Linked DNA regions of Caenorhabditis elegans. The protein of the gene in region 1 interacts with the protein of each later gene in a pairwise test. Each region holds a gene or a part of one and is shown in the gene's direction. Other genes may lie near its edges.

What was found.
Region 2: the proteins of F54B11.5 (region 1) and let-70 interact in a two-hybrid assay, tested with the Caenorhabditis elegans proteins (one study listed by BioGRID).

Annotation. Positions count from the first base shown.
Region 1 is NC_003284.9:13,593,621-13,600,316, reverse strand, and holds F54B11.5 (RING-type domain-containing protein), read left to right. Parts: upstream 1-4,248; 5' UTR 4,249-4,249; coding exon 4,250-4,338; intron 4,339-4,671; coding exon 4,672-4,789; intron 4,790-4,838; coding exon 4,839-4,996; intron 4,997-5,130; coding exon 5,131-5,179; intron 5,180-5,556; coding exon 5,557-5,748; 3' UTR 5,749-6,196; downstream 6,197-6,696. Other genes in the region: bra-1 (MYND-type domain-containing protein), read right to left, coding at 926-1,084, 1,318-1,524, 1,572-1,688, 1,778-1,846.
Region 2 is NC_003282.8:11,079,320-11,083,838, reverse strand, and holds let-70 (Ubiquitin-conjugating enzyme E2 2), read left to right. Parts: upstream 1-1,585; 5' UTR 1,586-1,631; coding exon 1,632-1,655; intron 1,656-1,703; coding exon 1,704-1,877; intron 1,878-1,924; coding exon 1,925-2,030; intron 2,031-2,075; coding exon 2,076-2,169; intron 2,170-2,215; coding exon 2,216-2,261; 3' UTR 2,262-2,753; downstream 2,754-4,519. Other genes in the region: klc-1 (Kinesin light chain), read right to left, coding at 68-104; atg-7 (Ubiquitin-like modifier-activating enzyme ATG7), read left to right, coding at 2,789-2,915, 2,965-3,131, 3,178-3,330, 3,381-3,911, 3,955-4,519. UniProt on the Caenorhabditis elegans protein: Catalyzes the covalent attachment of ubiquitin to other proteins. Mediates the selective degradation of short-lived and abnormal proteins. Plays a role in the DNA damage response.

The DNA of each region.
Region 1 (6,696 bases):
GAAAAGAAAGAATTTTTCAAACAAAAAACGCTTCGAATCAAGAGGGCGAGTGTAAAAATAATTGCGATTTTTTTCCGTCAAGAAGAGTTGAAAAGCGAAAATAATGCGACAAAATTCTGAAAAAAGCCTAATTATCGGTAATTCAAAATTAATTTAGATTTACTTTACGGAAAAATTCTGAAAAATCGACAAACCTTATTTAGGAATCGGTCTGATGAATAGTAAAGCACTTACACATTATTGAGCAAGATTTACTATTATTATCGCATCGCAAGTTGTTAAACATACTCAAACGATGTTCATTTATTCACAAATCGCAATTTCTATTCGTTTCGTTGTTGAAACTCAAACAAAGTATATTTGTTGTACAATCCGTGTAAATTTCATAGCACTCCTTCTAATTTGAATTTTTGGGTGCTTTCTGAAATAGTTTTTCAGAGAAGTTTATATTCATTTTAATTGCAGAGGTTGAATAACTCTCAATTCATTATGTCAATTCATATCTTCGTTAATTGTTTACATTTATACAATACACATCGGATGTGAAAACACGTTTGATCCCCATAAGTGTCTAGGAACATTTTCATTTTGTCATCTTTCACATTTACAGTATCCAAAAGGACATGTGTATCAAAATAAACTTTATTCACATAATTTCTTGATTATTTCTCGAAGGAATTAACACAAGTTTGAGATCTCTCCGAAATTGATCCAAATTCCTAATTAACAGGATTTATATAGAAGATCTTAAAATTGTTGTTGTCATGGGATTATAGAAAAATATTGCATGTTATTGGAGAGAAGATATACAGTAGTAACACAGAAAACGGGATGTGTGATGAGATAAACTTCGAAAACCTGACACAAGCTTTGTTACTTTTCAAAGGGCCTCCGGCTCGCAGATAGCATATTATTTAAGTTTCAATCATTGTTGACTTTGAGTAGGCTCAGCAATTGGCTGAACTGGTCCTGGGGCTCCACCGTTGCTCTTCTTTCTGCGGCAGAACTTGCGATGAATCTGCCAGTGTCCTTGTTGGCATTCAACGCTGCAATAAGCAGTGTTCCAGCAGCAATGATAGATTGCCTGAAATATGATCATGATGTTTCAGGTCTAGCGTTATTAATACAGCACTGGAGCGCAAAAGAATTATTTTCATGCTCGAAAGAAAATTAGCTTACAAATAAGATATAGTACTATGAACATTGGTATCACGACTCAGACTGATGTTAGAGATTTTGAAATATCTGGCAACACTCTACATCTTTTAAATAGAGAACCCGTCTAAATCAAAAAATCATAAAATCATAAAATCTCACCTCGCTGTTGCATTGCCAGCACCACTGCTTCTTCTTAGCGACAGCAAGTTCCCTTTGGTGTTTTTCCGACAGCTTTTCAATCTCCTCCTTGAGATTCTCCGCGTGCTTCTTCTCCAGCTCTTCCTTTGTCTGGTCGAGCTCTATCTTGAACTGAACCAACAAATCGCGACGGACTCGCTCCTGATCTTCCATGAATTCTTGATGGAGCTAAAATATAGATTTCTAAAATTAAAACTTTGGGGTGGTTGACTTACTTTTTCAGTTAGAGCAACGAGAGATTTCTCGCGGCTATCGTGATAATCCGTGAGCCATTGACGCTGAAGGTCGACAATCATTCGACGCATTTTGTCATCCACGTACAAGTCGTCGAACTGTAAAGATGATTTTTTTTAATTTTTTCCCGGTGAAAAATTTTAGTGAAAGTTGTTCTGTTATATTTTTCAAAAAAAAAAGCTCTTACCGTATTTGTTCCGTTTCCATTTTCCCCATTAACTTTTGGCGATGGTCCAGCTTCAGCTTCTTCCGACATTTCTGTAAATAACTGTGTTTCTCTGGAAAAAAATTAAATCAACTAATCAAAAATAAAAACTCTCGTCAGCACCGATATAAAAAAGAAAATAACAAAAGCGTTTAAAACCCCTCAACTCCACGCAGATACAACGATGCTCCGGAATTACGGCACTCTTGGTTTACACCAGTCTGAGCAGACGGCCGTCTGCTGTCTCGAGGTAATATTCAAATGACGACCGTAGAGAGATAGCGGAGAGGTAAAGCAAAAGAGAGAGCAGAGAGAAAGGAAATGGCAGATAATGAGCCCATGAGGCGAGTCGATATGTGGTCATGAGCCGGAGGGCGTTGCGCAGTCTAATGAAAGGATAAAGAAGAGATTATTGAGAGATGGAAGGTTCTGGTCACCTGCTCACAGACTACATTTTTTGAACAGAATGCGTTGTGACGTATCTGACTTTTTGATTTACAAAACAAAGGAAGAATTTGAATTTGTGTTTGACGCACTTAAATAAATTTCCGGGTGGATATGGAAAATTTGAGAATGAATATTTGAAAAAGAAAATCAAGAAAAAATGAGTTTTTTGAAAACGTATTCTTAGAAATTTTTCTTATAATTATAAGCCTTGTTGCTGTGCGACACAGGAAAAAATTAAAATTTTAACAAAAAACTTAAACTGGGAAAATGTTTTATTACATTTTGGAAACAAAACTGAAATCTCAAAAGATTGCCCCAAAAGCTCAGATACCCTTGGTTACGTCGTAGTTAATCATAAAATTTTTATGATTCTCGTAGGCTGAAATGGTGTATTATTGAAGCTTGAAGGGCTTCGCAAAACGGGAAATGAGATTTTGTGACTAACGGAAATTAGAGCCCAGCTAGCCGAAAATTTTGAAAAATTGAATATCAAGAGAAATATGTGGAAATTCTTGTTGGAAATTTTTAGGGATAAATATTGTTTTTTAAAACAATATTCGTTTTTTACGCACCAAATAGAAAAACAGAAGGAATGTGACAGAAATGTACAGAGAGGGTTGACTGACTTTGATTATCTTCTGGTATTTTTCCAGTTTTGCAAAGATATCTTAAGAAAACAGTATTAAAATGATTTCCAGAAGTTTCAGCGTTTTAGTAACTTTTATTAAGCAAACCTGTTAGTCGCAGAAAATCTGTCATCACACGTGATCGATGATATCTTTTTTTGTGTTCGATATCCTCAACCACGAATGCTGACTGAACACGTCTGCGAGATTTTCAAAAATATCCAGAATAAATTTTGAAGTAAGCATTGAATATCGTATATTTTCCTTCCAACGCGGCAATAGATGAGGGCGGCGGTGCACATAAAAATATCGCAAAGATGAGAACCATAAAATATTGGCGCTGCAGTTTTTTTGCAATTCGTTCTCTTTTCTTGACGCCCAAATTTGTTGGATCCTATGAAACAAAACGAAGGGTAGTAATGGGTGATAATGTACAGTTCAGTTCTACAGTTCAGAGCTCGGAAAATTCGGCAAATATCGTTTTTTAATATTTGCCGTGCTTAACAAACTAGGAAAATGTGATAATTTTTTATGTCTTTTTTATGTGAGCATTTTTTCGACTGTGGATTGCAGTTGACTAGACAATTAACTAAGTTAACTAAGTTAACTAGACTATAATTGACTTCCGAAGATACTCAAGTCGGTTGGGACAATCAGTTTTTTCTGCACTGATCTGCTTGATGTATCCTAATCGGCTTCATCTTTATCTGAGTAGGTGTGCTGCAAATTTGCCGTTTGCCGGGCTCGGCAAATTTCAAAAAAGTAGATTTGCGGAACTTTCCGAGCTCGGCTAATTATGTTAGGCCGGATCGATTTTACATGACTCATTTCCGTTGTTATCAATTTTTCTATCTGCTGAACAGGTTAACAACCATATGATAAGACGCGTAATGTGCCTATGTAATCATTTATTAAAAACAGTTTTTTGTGTACGAAAAAATTTCAAATAGAGGTGCCTGATTTTTACAAGCTGGATAAAACAGATAGTTCAAAAGTGGTATGATGTATGATGACAACGTTTATAGAATGACTTACATTGTTAGATAATTCATAAAATACTAAACTTTTTGTTTTGTTAGAAAAATGTCTTTATACGTTTAATTTCCAGAATATTTCCTGCACTTTGTGTGCTTGCCTTTTTTGCATACAATTAATTTGCTCACTGTTCACGAGTGCAAGGGACTCATGCGATACGTTTTCTTATGTTTCTCTGTGTCTCTCGTTTCACTCAATTTCTCGCACTACGTTACTCCGCTCTTCCACCCTGCTCGCAGTTTATTTGAACCATTTTCCTGATGTCATGTGTTTTGCATGACTAATTCCGCATAAACATACGTTTTTCTTGTAAATTAATAGATTAAATTATAAAATATTTTTCAGGATGGGTACTAATCAATCAAAACGACATCCACGATTTCAGTCATGCACATGGGATGAATTTTTGGCCGATATTAAGGAAATGAACCGAAAGTATGTTTTTTTGTTAGAGTCAAATTTGGTTGCAATATTTATAATTCATAATTTGAAAAATCAAATATAATTTCCAAATGTTTTAATTTCCTTAATCTTTTTGAAAATACCACTATTTTTTTTATACAGCAACAATTAAAAATTTATAAATAAAAAGGCTTTCCTTAGCGGTGTTCGAAAAATAATTTGGACATAAAGTGTGAAACAATCTTTTCGCAACATTTTTTGAAGTGTTTGCTTATGAACCCTGCACCAAAGATCGGATTCCTCGGAAGTTTCCCAAACATTACGAAATATGGCGTCACGACCTTAACTAACATTTTATTCGTTCAGTTATCGCAGTCTTCTTGTCGAAAACGAGGAGTACTTGGCCTTCGCTCTCCGGAACATTGACTATCAGCGTGAAGGATATGAAAACTGGAAGTCAGAGATTAAAATTCTCTGCTGCAAGGTGAGTAGTTTCATTGTACAAATCGAACATTGAAAAAATAAATTTTCAGGTTAATCAAATGTCGAAGCAAGTGTTAAACTACAAGGAGCTGACGTTTCGCGAGTTTCTCTCCACATATGATCTACATAAGCTGATGATCACCAACAAGGAAAGCCGTAAAAGAAGCGTGGATCCCATGTCGACTAGTCAATTCATTTTGACTCAAACGTAAGTTACACGAAGAAAAAAGTATACACTGATATCGTTATATTTGGAAAGAAAATGTATTTTAATTAAGACTGTTTCGTTAGTAAATTTTAACCTTAAAATTTTTCACAGGTCACTTCAACTTTTTTTTGCAGATCGGATGTCGAGGGTAACTGCGTGATTTGTATGGAAAACATCAACGATGTAAGTTTTCAATTTCGTATTCAAAATTAATTCATTAGTGGGTCCGTACATTTTGTATTTTGGAATCTAAAACCTTGGTAGTGCTCCTCATATTTAAAAACTTTTCTTCTACTGGTTCATTAACATGAGTTTGAGAAAATATCGATCAAGATTTCGAAATGAACAATTATGAAATCCCAAACTTGTTTACTTTGGATAATTTTAAGGCATTTTTCCGCAAATTTTTATCTGTGGATTCATATCGGTAAACTCATTTGAGCTCAAGGAATATTTCCAAAGTTCCAGTTCTCATAAAGAACATATTTGAATAAAAAACTGTAAATAGTAGATACGGAGTATTGAAAAATAAAAATAAAGATATTTTATTTATTTTTCAGTTGCTTCTCCCGTGCCTCCACGCCTTTTGCATCCGATGCATCGCCAACGAAATGGAATACCGCCACGATTTCTCATGCCCGATTTGCAAGACAAAGATCAGAAACCCCATCGAATCATCTTGGGAGGTGCCAGATGCTCCAGACCAGGCTGAAGTGAACGAGTATTTGAAGGAAATCGCCCGTGAAACTTGATCTAAACTATATTCAACTAGCTCCAAATCTCTCTCGCCTCCGCTCACTTTTCCTGTCTGATTTTTCTCACATTTCTCATTCGTTGTTTCTTGGAAAACGTTATTTTTATTTATTCCATTTATAAGTTCAAAACTTACCATAACTCCATTAACGGTTCATTGTTCATTCTCAGCCTTAGCCATTTTTTTTCCTTCTTTCTCGGTTTCGATGTGCGCCTAGCGGTTTCTTGTGAGTAGCTCACAGTCGAATATTTTTTTAGTGGGGGCAGTGCAAATTAGTTTTTTAACTGGTGTTTGGTAATTTCTGGGCACTAATGGTAGAAATTATTTTTGCACTGCCGCACTTCTCAGGTCCAAATTCCAAATGTTTCAACTCATTTTTTTTGTATTCAAATGATGTATACTTTGTTACCATGTAAATATCTGAATAAAGCACGTTCAACCTTTTTAATTATTTCAATAATCAGTACTGCATGAATCCTATTTTGTTATTTGAAATTCTTGGACAACATTGAATTGGGTACTGAAAATGCTTGCCGTGTATTCTTAGATTTACAAAAGCTGGTTTATTTTTTGAAACTTAAACTTATTTAAATTTAAAACATTGAAAAGTTTGCTCAAAACTGCCTTAAAAATAGCAATTCAATTGTTAAAAAAAGAAACTGAACATACTCATCAGCAACATTTCTGTTTCAACTTTTTCCACTAAATCCATTTTGATAATGTTTTTTTGAATGGTTTGCAAAAAAAAGAAACCGAATGCGTTTTTTTTTGGAAAATCGGAATGTTAACCTGAATATGGAAAATTTATATGTAGATTTTTTAAATTTTTTAACACCGTGCAAGCATAATGGAAAAACTAAAAAAAAAAAAATTATTACATTCTTCGTTCAAATATACAATTATGTTTATTGAAGTATTCATATTTCTGTTGCATTGATAATTGGAG
Region 2 (4,519 bases), on another chromosome or scaffold:
GTAATTTAATGTGAATTTTCGATTATTTTAATGTTTTCTAAAAAATTTTTGTTGTTTTTATTAATACCTTCAACGTAATATGGGATAGACAAGCAGTATGCCATTTAAAAATATTTTTTGATTGGAAGAGCTTTCCATATCTCTTGGCGCCATTTCGAACGCGGCAAAATACAGATTGTGAAACAAGGGCGGTCCATCATTCTTACTCATTTTCTTCTAATTTCTTCAGTTTCTTTTCAGTTCGTTTGCGATGTTCCTTATTTTTCTTCCTGCTCCAACTTCTGTAGTTCGTTCTGTTGTACTTGTTTCCAATTTTTTAAAGGTTTTCCTCGCTGAATTCGTATTTTAAAAATAACTTCAACTCCACATGTGAGTAGTGATTAGGGAATTTAGTGCTCGATCAATAATTTGAACAACATTTTTGCAAAACTTATTTCTCAAAATTAAAGTCACTTCCGAAGTATGATTTGGCCTATTTTATACCTCTTTGTTTTCGTTGTCCCACGTGACTCATATAGCACGAAATAAGAAAACACACTCAAGTTCATTCGTCCTAAAATTTTATAAATTCCGCGTTCAAATTTCAGTCATCTAGTAACCATCAGAAAAGTGCAAGTTCACTCACGTCCACACTGAATTGAATCAGTGGAATCACATGATCAACTGCTTCTCTCACTCTCTCGCTTTGTCATTAGATATCTCTACCTCTCTGCGTTTCGTGTCTAAGTGCTTATAGTTTCACTTCTCTCCGCTTTCAATCCCCATTGCGATGCGACTGCAGCATTGCAGTGAGTGTGATGGTCGTCTCAAGACCCATGGCGCTGCGTATCGATCGTTGCCTCGTACCCTCTTACGTTTCCTGTGTTATTTCTGTCTCTGTCGTTCTGACACTTCAGCGCTCACCCCGTCGCTCATTTTCACTCACAGACAGCACACATTCTCACTCACTCGCAGCCTATGGCCATTTCTTCCTTCCTCACCATCTCGTGAGGCGACAAGTCGCGTGTCTTTAGTCGATTTCAGAGTGATTATCTGGAAATCATTTGTTTCAATCAGAAAATAATACGTACATGCCGAATAGTTTTTTAAAAAACTAACCAGACAATTTGTGATACGTCTTGAATTTTAATTTTTGCCCAGTCTCGATTCATTGTGAAGAAAATTTTACAAGATTTGAATCGCTTGCTTTTTGTGCGTAATATTCCAGTCCATTTCTTTTAAGCGTTAAAATTTTTTTCGAGTGTCACTGGCTTGTAGCCGTAAAAATGTGTCATATTTGTCATCATTTCTCATCGTTAGTTATTTTATTAGGAAATTTCCGAAATTTATGTTATTTTGGTTTTCAAATTTATATCTGTTCTATTTTTCCTCATTTTTCGCTTTCTAGAATGTTCCACTAGTTTCGAAATGTGACGTAACAGTTCACCACGAAGGGCAAACTGAGTACTTTGTACCGCCTCTAAATATCGATTTTTCGCCGCGCCGCGCCGTACTCTTTATGTTATTTCATGCGAAAATCCTCACTTTCAATTTTTCCCTATAGCAGAAGCTCAATTTCACCGTATTTATCGAAATTTATTTTCAGAGTACTCCGGGTGTAGCCGGGTCAATCAGCAAATCAGAACACCAACATGGCTCTCAAAAGAATCCAGAAGGTAAGGTTTCAACACTTAACAACAATAAAATTATTATGTACGTTTCAGGAACTCCAAGATCTCGGCCGTGATCCACCCGCACAATGCTCCGCTGGACCAGTTGGTGATGATTTGTTCCATTGGCAAGCTACGATTATGGGCCCACCAGAGTCTCCCTATCAGGGAGGTGTCTTCTTCCTCACTATCCACTTCCCAACAGACTATCCATTCAAACCACCAAAGGTATTGATCGAAATTGGAAAAAAATAAATTTAATTTGTTTTCTTCAGGTTGCCTTCACCACTCGAATTTATCATCCGAACATCAATTCAAACGGAAGCATCTGCCTTGACATTCTCCGTTCGCAGTGGTCGCCGGCTCTGACCATTTCGAAAGGTTGATATTATCATTATTGTTCGCGTTCTAACTTTTAATTTTCAGTTCTGCTTTCGATCTGCTCGCTGCTCTGTGATCCAAATCCGGATGATCCACTTGTGCCAGAGATTGCACGCATCTACAAGACGGATCGTGAAAGGTGAATTTAGATTTTCTTTTAACTACTAAAAATAATCGATTTTCAGGTACAATCAATTGGCGAGAGAATGGACGCAAAAGTACGCTATGTGAGGAGGCTAACACCATTCATACAAGAACGCAGCCAAACCAATCAATAAACCATGTGTTTCTTTTCCCTCTCTGTGTCTCCCATTCATCTCCAAACCCTTTCCATCTTATTCAATCCACACCAAACCCCGGCGATTCCTCTTTTGTACTATAAATTGTGTTCTCTTTTTATCGATTTTGTTCTCCCCCACACATTATTCTCCTTCAAAAAATACCCACTTTCATATTATTTTCTGTCGTCAGCAAAGCGATGTAAAATATATATGGTCTTTTATATTTCTTCCTTATAATTCAAAAGTAAATCGAACGGTGTAGATTGATCCCCTCAATTCTCTCTCATCCCCTTTAAACTATTTTGTCTCCAAATCTCCCTCCTCCCTTCCTCTGATTTTTCTCGAGAAATTGAAAAAGGATTTCTTCCAAACCACCACACATTCGTTCTTCGTTTATTTCATCTGGCGGTCTGAGAATCCTGAATAAATTACTGAAGAGCGTCTATTATTCTCGACATTGTTTTTCTTTCAGAATCGATGGCCACGTTTGTTCCCTTTGTTACTTGTCTTGATACAGGTTTTTGGAACGAAGTGAACAAGAAAAAGCTCAATGATTGGAAACTCGATGAGACGCCAAAGTGTATCTCAAGTCAATTATCGCTTCGTAAGAATTGCCTATATCCGTATCAGATGATTTTTAATTTAAATTACAGATCAAACCGAAGGTTTTAAATGTCATCTATCCTTAAGTTACGACAGTTTGAGCAGTTTGGAGAGCACAACTGGATTGTCAATGTCCGGTACCCTTCTTCTGTACAATACAATTGAAAGTTTCAAGATGGTTGACAAAAGTGATTTGATAAGAAGTGAAGCAGAAAAGGTAGAATAACTTTCGTATAGTTAATCAAAATCGTCAGCAATTTCAGATCTGGGAATCTATCACAACTCGAAAATGGCTCCAAAATCCTCGTCTTCTGTCGCAATTCTTCATCATCGCTTTTGCTGATTTGAAAAAATTCAAATATTATTATTGGACATGTGTTCCTGCTTTGGTATATCCTAGTGAAATAAAACAAGAGGTTGAAAAATCTTTAAAAGTCTTTGAAGTTCGTAAATTCTTCGGTTTCAGATCACACCACTATCATCTCTCGGAGCCGATCACAAGATCCTGTTCGACTTTTATAGGAAAAACAATTTTCCGATCTTCCTATACTCCAAACAATCTTCAAAAATGCTCGAACTGTCAGAATTGGAAAACAACACAAATCCTGACGAAATATGTGTTGTTGTCGCTGATCCTTCTCCTGTTGCGTATTCTGCAGGATGGATGGTTCGCAACGTTCTTGCCGCAGTGGCACATCTTCATCCTACGTGGAAGCATTGTCATATCATCAGTCTTCGTTCAGCTGACAGTATCGGAATAAAATACACATGGACCTTGCCGAGTGCTGAATGCTCAGCAGATGGAGCTCAGAATGCTGTTCCAAAAGCTGTGGGATGGGAAAGAAATGCAAATGATAAGTTGCAGCCGATTTCAGTAGACTTAAGTAAAGAGTTCGATCCAAAAATATTAATGGAAAGATCTGTGGATCTTAATTTATCATTAATCAAATGGAGATTGCACCCAGATATTCAATTGGAAAGATACTCACAGCTGAAGGTATATATTTAAATTTTAAATTTTATATTTTGTCATATTCCAGGTTCTCATTCTTGGTGCTGGAACGCTTGGATGTAACATTGCCCGTTGTCTTATCGGATGGGGAGTTCGTCACATTTCGTTTCTTGATAATTCAACTGTCAGCTACAATAACCCCGTTCGCCAGAGTCTCTCAGAATTTGAAGATGCACGCCTGGGTCGTGGAAAAGCCGAAACAGCACAAGCTGCTATCCAACGCATTTTCCCATCGATTCAAGCAACTGCTCATCGTCTCACTGTTCCAATGCCTGGACATTCTATCGATGAAAAAGATGTACCAGAGCTGGAAAAAGATATTGCAAAATTGGAGCAACTTGTGAAAGATCATGATGTTGTTTTCCTAGCATTAGATTCAAGGGAAGCTCGCTGGCTTCCAACAGTTTTGGCTAGTAGACATAAGAAGATTGCAATTAGTGTCGCGATTGGATTCGATACCTACGTCATCATTCGGCATGGAATTGGTTCTAGAAGCGAAAGTGTTTCAGATGTTTCATCATCAGATTCCGTACCATACTCTCAGCTTTCTTGCTATTTCTGCAGTGATGTAACTGCTCCAGGAAATTCTACTT